2 linked regions of the Neurospora crassa OR74A genome follow. The protein of the gene in region 2 binds, or shares a complex with, the protein of the main gene of each other region. Links are inferred from orthologs where the notes say so. Each region holds a gene or a part of one and is shown on either strand. Other genes may lie near its edges.

Region 1 (3,899 bases), on a different chromosome or scaffold from region 2:
CTCTCAAGAAGAAGAAGGAAGCTGAGAGACAATTGGGAAGGACGGTTCCGGCTGTTAATGCGTATGTCCCTTCGACTTACTCTCCCGTGTCCAGCTCGCACTAACAATATCTTTCCCATTGATAAACAGCCACCTAACCAACAACGGCGTGGAAATCACTCCCCCATCCTCTCCCTCTTCCGAGACCCCCGCCGAGTCTTCCTCCCCCTCCGACAGCAACACCACCCTCATCACCACCGAAGACCTCTTCTCTGACCTAGACGGTGCCAATGTCGGTTTTCACAACTGGCACCCTATGCCCATCACCTCCAAAGGCAACACCCTTGTCGGGCAAGGCGAGCTCGGCGGCGTGTGGGAATGGACTTCATCGGTCCTCCGCAAGTGGGAGGGGTTCGAGCCGATGGAGCTGTACCCCGGCTATACGGCGGATTTTTTCGATGAGAAGCACAACATTGTGCTGGGAGGGAGCTGGGCTACGCATCCGAGGATTGCGGGGAGGAAGAGCTTTGTGAATTGGTACCAGAGGAATTATCCTTATGCTTGGGTGGGGGCGAGAGTTGTTAGGGATTTGTGAGTCGTTGTGTTTGTATGTGTAATGGGTGGTGGACTATGGCTGGTTGGAAAGTGAAGACGACGTGAATAGCGCAGTCTTGGTTAGTACTCAGATGGGTATCTTTTTCTTGGTTATGAAATTTCGGTCAACTACATGTATATGAATGGGGTGGTTTCATATGTCACTCCACTCGATCAGGCATCCCTGGTTTAACTTTAGCACGTACTTTGTTTTCCTTCACAGGCCAAGCAAGTGAGAAAAGAGACTCTTTCATCAACCAAACCTCCAAAGGATATCAGGTACCTATCCCATTTCCCGTTAAAAACGCCTAATAATGCTGCAAGGATATTTACCACAGTAACCACACCGATAACTTGAAAATGATCAAGCAGTTCCATCCATCCATCCATCCATTCATAAAACCGCCCTTTTGTTACCCACGCTTTTCAACACCTTTCACCTTCAGTATCGGGCAGCAAGACCCCCCTCACTTCTCATAATCAACCAACTCCCAAATCTGACTCGGCTGCTTCACTCCCTGCTCCGTCACAATGCCATCAATCAGCTCCGGATCGGTATAATCCACCTCATCGCGATCCGCCACCCAATCCCTCGCCTCTTGGCCTACAGGGTCAACGCCCACGTTGTCAAACTTGCTGATATCCTTCTGCTTGACGCCGACCCTCAACACCTGTGGGTGCCAGAGGGGCGTCTTGCGCACAATCTTGTGACTTTCCGCAGCAACCAAGAAGCGCTTCTGCGAGCCGCCCGCGAAGCGCGTGAGCAGAGCAAGCTGCGAAGTGCCCATGCGCGAGATGATGCCGCCGTTTTGCATGACGACCTCGCTGCCGACGAGGACGATGTTGATGTCCTTTTGGTCCTTGAGGACGTAGGCCACCTTGGAGGTCGAGATGGTCTCCACCTCCAGGCCGGCGTCGCGCAGGGCCGAGACGCTGGCGTCGCAGTGCGGACTGCCGTCCATGACGTAAATGACCTTGAAGTGCGTGTTGGTCCGGGTCGTGGCGGCGTGCACCAGGATCTTGGTCACCACCCGCGAACCGCCGGCGGCCAGGACGATCTTGCGGTGCGACATGTAGCGGGAACCGATGACGGCAATGTTGTCGCGGGCGGCCTTGGCGCGGGCGGCAAAGAGCTGGCGGTTGTTGAGCAGGTGGCGCTTCGTCTCGTCGAAGGACTCGGCGGTCTGCCCTCTAAGCGACCGGAGAAGGTACTGCTCGAAGAGGTCGGCGCCGGCTAGCAGAGGGAGAGGGTTCGGGGCCGAGTCGAGGAGGAGGGCCTTTTGGGTCTTGACGACCTCGACGGTTTCCATGGCTGTTGAGGAAGGGGTGACGCGCAAGAGCTCGATGAGCGATTCGATGGCTGCTACGGGCATAGTCATGTCGGGGTCGGAGGTGAGGAGGTCGCGGTAGGTTTTGACGATGCTGTTTGTTTGTCTTGGTCAGAGGCAAGCAATGCGACGAAAGGGTTCAGCGCGGTTTGGTTATGACGCGTGTGGTAATTACGCCAAAGCAAACTCACTCGAACGAGGCGCCATCAGTGGAGGTGGACGATGTCGTCCGTACCGCGAGCGGCTTGTTGGATAGGTCGTCGGTGGCCATGTTTCTATGGGGGTTGTTGGAGAAGACGACAAAGTGTGTTGATATTGTGAAGGTGTGGGAAGTGGTTTTCGTTGCCAAAACATACAAGTCCTCCCGGGAGGAAGCACTGTTGCGGCGGTCGATCCAAGTGGGGAGGGTTCGGGGTGTTTTAGTCACTTGGGAGACTTGGAGCAGGCAGGCAGGTTTTGGCTTTGTCAAATCGTACAGGTTTATGTATTGCGACAATGATCTGGTTTGTGGTATGCAGAGTCGATAAAATGCAGCGTTTTCTGAAGAAGCGTGCGTCTGGTCTGATCTGAAAGTGTGACTCAAGATGCGTACCTACCTCTACTAGCTGTACATGTAACCTTCTTCATCCCAAATTCCCAAGTGCGGGCGGCCCTTTGAAGTATTCTGCCGCCACTCACCGTCCTCAATGCGTACCTACTACTGAGTGTACCTACTGCACGTCAACGAAGCTCTCCGGCCATTCTTTGTTTCCATTTCATGCCCGCTAGGTATGTGCCCCGCTATCGGCAGCTGCTAGTGTACACTACTACCTAGCGGGGTTGTTGCTGCCCTGGGTGATTTCCATGCCAGGTGTTGCGGCTTGTCACCGCCGCCCACCAGTCACCTCACGGACCTTTCGGGGGCTCTTTACAGGGTCGAAACACTGAGGGTCCCCCCTGGGGCTGCGTGGATCCTTTCTACTCCAGGCTGCCCCTGGCATCTGCGCTGCTACCACTGTTAGGTACTTCCTGTGGCTTCCGCCCCGCCGTCCGCTTCCATGGAACAGGGGCAGCAAGGGGAATGTGAAGCTAACTTAGGGGTTTCTACAGTAGCGGAGGACCCTTTACCGTCATTGTCTCTTTCTTCATCGGGCATTTGAAACTACCTAGGTGTATGGACCCGTTGGTTGGCGATGTTGGCTTCAGTCTCTTCTTCTTCTTCTTCTTCTTCCCCCCCTGGCTTCCTGTTGAGCGTCGACTATAAGTTGCCGACATAGGGACTAGGTACGCTAGCAAGCAAATCACAAGGACAGAAACACCATTACGACCGTGACCACCACCACCACCACCATAACACAACACACATCATGACGACCCTCATAGACCCGGCCACGCAGGCCCCCCTCCCGGCCGATGCCATCCAGCGCATCCTCCACATCACCTCCTCCTCGGTCCACATCTACCAGATCCCCCCTATGCGCTCGACCAAGGGCCACATGGCCGCCGACTGGACCGCCGACCCCAAGGCGCACATCTTCACCGGCCGCGTGCGCATCATCGAGACCTCGATCCCGCCGCAGACGCCCGAGCAGATTGGAGAGAAGGACACGGTCAAGGTCGACATTGTGCTCGAGGACCCTGCCACAAACGACCTGATCGCCGCCGCCCCCTACACCACCCAGGCCGTCGTCGAGGCCACCATCGACAGCAGCCGCTTCTTTGCCCTGCGCGTGCAGGATCCCACCACCGGCAAGAAGGCCATGCTCGGCGTCGGCTTCGAGGAGCGCAGCGAGTCTTTCGACTTTGGCGTGGCCCTGCAGGAGGCGCAAAAGTCGCTGGGCCTCATCGAGGGCGTGGCGCCCCTGATCAAGTCAAGCAAGAAACAGGAGGCCGAGGAGAAGAAGGATTATAGCTTGAAGGAGGGCGAAACGATCACGGTGAACTTGAGCGGGACCAAGTTTGGGAGGAGAGCAAGGCAGGATCGCCCCTTGTCGACGGACCTGGACAGCAATTCACAGC
Region 2 (4,538 bases):
AGCAAAGAGCATGCATGGGTGGTTCTGACTGTTGCGACCTAGTATTCTTGACGACGCTCACCTATACAACCTGTATGCTGAGAGCACTCAGGCCATCATTTTAGTAAGGCTGCTCAGTGTAGTTCATAAAATTATCACAGGCATTCGTGCTCATACAAAGGAAGATGTGTTGAGAGCGAGGAGTATGCGGATGTCAAATTTTCCTTCATTTTCCCGTCCATCCATTCTCCCCTTCCCAAAAAGAGAACACAAGCAATATCTCGAGGTCGCAGGTGCTGCGGGTATAAGTTCATCTACACCTCCCCCTTTTCGTTCTTCCACCCTTGCTTCCTTCTTCCAAATAATCCATCCCTCTTGAGCATGCACTTCCATTGATAACCCATCTAGTCACTATCCTCATCCTCTTCATCACTGTCTTCGTTGCTATCCTCCTCATCTGCATTCTCCAGCCATTCGACCAGCACACGACTCCTCTCCTTGATCTTGGAGAGTGTATCATTCTCTGCAGCCCTGGCATCCGCCCACCAGGCGAGAATACCTTCCTCCTCGAGAACGTCCAAGTTATAAAGCTGCTGCAGCATGGCGGCAAGTAGCGTTCCTGCGCGCGCAGAATCAAGCCCCTTAATGGCTGCCAAAGCTTTCTGCAACGCGAGGGCAAACTCAGCGTGGAGATCGACCTTGTTTCCGCCGACGCCAACCTCTGTAATGAACTTGACGGCACCCTTCTTGGACGTAAGAGCCCGGCCAGCGGCCTTGGTAGGCTCAAGACCGCCGTTTTCGGGACTCATGAGCTCGGCGGCGCGAGTGGCAAAGGCTACGGCAATGGCCTTGCGCATCATGCTGTCCGAAGCATTATTGGCCAGTCTCAAACCCATGAACTCCAGCTTCGCAGAGTCGAAATCCTCGTTGTCGTCAGCACGGAGGGCATCTACAAGTCCGTGAACAGCGTCACCATGAAACTGGTCGAGCTTCATGACGGCGGCAGCGGAATCGTCAGACGCGAAGGAGGATAGGCGCTCCCGGTTGGTCTTGGCTTGGAGGCCTTGCTCGTACTCGTCATCCGAGAGGTCATCATCGGAGTCATGGGTCGCTAATGTGGAGATGGACTCGCTTGAAATGTTGAGGCCAGCCAAAGAGTAAATGAGAGAGCTTTGGAGAACTGCGGGGTCCGCATCGCCTTCATCCTCGGAGTCACTATCCTCGTCGTCTTCTGGCTCTTTATATTGGGCTCCCTTGCCATCGTTTCCGACCAGTTTGATGTCGGTCTTGACCGGCTCTCTTTCACTGGTAAAGAGGGATATTCTCGGTAGGGGTTTGGATGAGAGTTGTGTTCCGGCGCTGATCCGCACACCGTAGGAGATGAGAGAGCCTTGAGGAATGTAGCTGTGCTTACCAATGACTGCATCGTTGGCTACAATGGAATGCAGAACAGTAGCACCGTCTTCGATGACCGCGTCATCCCAGATATAGCTGTTCTCTATCCTCACGTTCTTTCCGATCTGGCACCTCCTTCCGATGATACTGCTCGAGATTGTGCTGCCGGTGTCGACATAGGCGGTCTTCCCTAGTACGGATTTGGTTACTGTGCTGTTTTTTGCGATGTGTGCGCCATCCTCTAACCACAGACCCCGTTTGTACTTGTAAGTTTGTCCGTGAAGAAGGTTGCTATCGGGGACATACGGTAGCGCCCAGCGGTGGAGGATATCCTTGCTGATGCAATCATACATCTGAAGGTTGCTGGCGCGAGCCCCGTAGCCTTCCTCAAGAATCTCGGCGCTGATGATCTTGCCGTTGAGCTCCCAGTCTTTCAGTACGCCGTGAAGGAAGTTCTTGCGGGGAAGCTCGTAGTCGAAGCTCTCGGACCACAAGGCCAAAACATCTGGCGTGCAAATATCGATGCCACAATCGATCAGATCGGTGCGTAAGTCGAACTCAGCATACTCGAATACCGACTCGTCCAACTTGACATACTTGTCCTTCTGAAGTGGGTGCATCTCTTCATATTGCAGACAACGGCCGTTGGTGGGGTCGACAACAAAGACAGGAGTAATGCCCCGGGCCTTTGCAGTCCGGTGAGGGCTGTCTCCTGTTGAGCGCAAGACGATGGTCATGCAGGCGTCTCTGTTGGCCTCTCTCCTTGCGCGGTGCCTAGCCAGAATACCATCGAGGGGGATGTTTGCGACAACATCGCCATGAATCAGAATGAAGTCACCCGAGATAAGACTGCGCTTGTCAAGATCTCGCAAAAAGTCACCGATGGAGCTTGCGTCGGACACGCGGATGAAGTCGACAGAAGAGAAGGGGCAGAGATTGCTTTCAGGGCTCCATCGGTCAGAGTCGTGGATGTAGGTTTCGACGTCTTCGGAGTGGGCGCCGCAGTAGATGAAGACCTCCTGGACGCCGTTGGAGGCTAGATACTCGAGCGTGTATTCGATAACGGGCACGTTGACCAACGGAAGGAGACACTGTCAGGAGAAGGCCGTCAGTACTCAGAGGTCACCAGGGACAAGGGACACGAAGCATTTAGCACGAAGCATGAAGGCATTTACCCTGGGCTTTTCAAGCGCGAAAGGCTGAAAGCGATCTTGGAAAGAATCGGCGAGGATGACGGCCTGGAGAGCATCTTCTCTCTTCTCCTCGGCGCCGCCCTTGGCGGGCTTTTTGGACTTATTGGCAGCCCCGCCCTTGCTGACTTGCTTGCCCGACATTGCCAACTGAAGTCTATTTATCAGCTCGAACTCTACAGGAATGGGTCGACGAGGGCCTGGTTGAGTAAGTGGCCGCGGATCGGGAAGCGCGGGGAAGACTGTGGTAGAAGGAAAAAGGTGGGGCTGCACAATGTCAAGAACGGCGCGTTTGAACTTCAAAGCTGGGGTTGATGATGCGCCTGCCTCGGCCGCCGTGCGGTACCAAAACCTTGCAATGATGAGTCAACGCAGTGACCCAATTTGTCCAAACTTTCACATTGTGTTTTCCGTAAGGTACTGCATGCTTGGAGGTGGGGCGCAGGGCTATCACCTGTGGCTTGTACGTACCATCGGGGCCTTAAGTTTACCGTACCGCGTACCAACTGCACTGAGCCTTACAGGTGGTAACTTTCATCAGTGGAAAATTGTGGCGTTGGAAATCACTAGCCGCATTTGGGCTCCCATCATATCGATCATGACAACTGAAGTAGCCGCATCAAGCACATCATAGCACCGGCACTGAACAGTACTTCGTGTCCTAGTCGTGTACACTACAACACGATAGTGCTTAGCATCTCCCTTGGCCGCACAAAAACGGCAACATGTATGAAAGGGAAGGTACTAAGTAGTGTGAATAGTACACTTGAGCCCTGGAAAGTTCGTTAGCTCGGTACATACAGGGGTTTTGACAAGGGAGGCGACTAGGGATAAATCCAATCAAATTACGCATACGAGGCCCGCACAGGAAGAACAGGGACAACAAAGCTACCGTAAATCAATCAATTTCACATACTAAAACCAGGGATTCTCAAATACCACAATTGTAACCGTAACCTCAGCCAAATCAATAGTCGGTATACCCGCCTTTTGCCTTAATAACCGCCTCAAGCCTTCTAGGCATTAAATATACTAAGCAAAGTAAGTAGTCCTCTAATACAACCTCCCAAGCCTTCTCGATAGCCAATTTAAAGCTATTCCCAATCAGTCTAATTAGGTATTCACACTCAATCCATCTCTTCATAAAGGCCCAAACGTTCTCAATAGAATTAAAATCAAGGGAGTAGGGCGGCCAATCGACAATAGTAGCGCCAACAAAAGCATCCTTTATAAATACCTTCGTTAACTTCGAACTATAAGCTAGTGCATTGTCTTACATAACGACAAAAAACGAATTCTCTTACCAAAATTACCGCAGAAAAGGGAAGACATACTTCTAGTAAATATCGCTAGTAATCGTACCCCAATCCTTATAATTCCAAAAGAGGAATGTACCCTTTTTTTTACCTATAAAGTAAATCTAAAATATCCATCCCCGAACTCTAATTTTAATTTTAACGAAGTCGCTAACCTTCTCATCCTTAAAAAGGGTAACGAAATAACAGCTTTAAGTAACGCTATTTACCTACGTCTCATTAAACTAAATCCAAATCTCCTATTCCAATAGGGTAAAGCCGGCGTACCATAAAGCAAATTTAAAGTGGAAACGACAGGTCTTATCGCTTAGAGGAAGATAAATTAGTTATTCAATGCAACGGACACCCTAAATCTCTATTGCAGCTTAAATAGCCTCGCAACCGTAGCTATTAAATTTAAATATATACTTCCCCAATTTTACCTACAATAAGAATCTTTTCGATTTTATAGGGGTATTTATATACTAAAAGAGAATATTAACAACGGCCGGCGGAATGGTAAGGGGTCTACCCCCCGAATTGTAATAAGGGATAGCCTTAACGAGATAAGTATATTGAACTTATTTAATAGTAAAATTGAGGGCGGCAGCAATCTCTTTATAATCCATCTTAGTATACGTCCGAAGCGCCTTATAAATAATATACTCCTTGTATATAG

Evidence for each region.
Region 1: the proteins of NCU02414 (region 2) and NCU04344 are in contact, whole or in part, in a cryo-EM structure (PDB 6QG0), measured with the Saccharomyces cerevisiae proteins. The link is inferred for Neurospora crassa OR74A from reciprocal best matches to the Saccharomyces cerevisiae genes GCD6 and GCN3. Residues at the interface, in NP_010497.3 of Saccharomyces cerevisiae: Glu321, Lys327, Val331, Val332, Leu333, Ala334, Gln335, Ser336, Cys337, Ile339; in NP_012951.1 of Saccharomyces cerevisiae: Asp122, Phe146, Arg148, Phe149, Arg150, Ile174, Pro175.

What each region holds. Positions count from the first base shown.
Region 1 is NC_026504.1:3,704,115-3,708,013, reverse strand, and holds NCU04344 (translation initiation factor eIF-2B alpha subunit), read right to left. Parts: upstream 2,491-3,899; 5' UTR 2,173-2,490; coding exon 2,093-2,172; intron 1,996-2,092; coding exon 1,041-1,995; 3' UTR 661-1,040; downstream 1-660. Other genes in the region: egt-1 (DUF323 domain-containing protein), read left to right, coding at 1-61, 130-574; NCU04345 (adaptin ear-binding coat-associated protein 2), read left to right, coding at 3,248-3,899. UniProt on the Saccharomyces cerevisiae protein: Acts as a component of the translation initiation factor 2B (eIF2B) complex, which catalyzes the exchange of GDP for GTP on the eukaryotic initiation factor 2 (eIF2) complex gamma subunit.
Region 2 is NC_026507.1:2,573,064-2,577,601, forward strand, and holds the start of NCU02414 (translation initiation factor eif-2b epsilon subunit), read right to left. Parts: upstream 2,931-4,538; 5' UTR 2,709-2,930; coding exon 2,550-2,708; intron 2,466-2,549; coding exon 384-2,465; 3' UTR 1-383. UniProt on the Saccharomyces cerevisiae protein: Acts as a catalytic component of the translation initiation factor 2B (eIF2B) complex, which catalyzes the exchange of GDP for GTP on eukaryotic initiation factor 2 (eIF2) and is regulated by phosphorylated eIF2.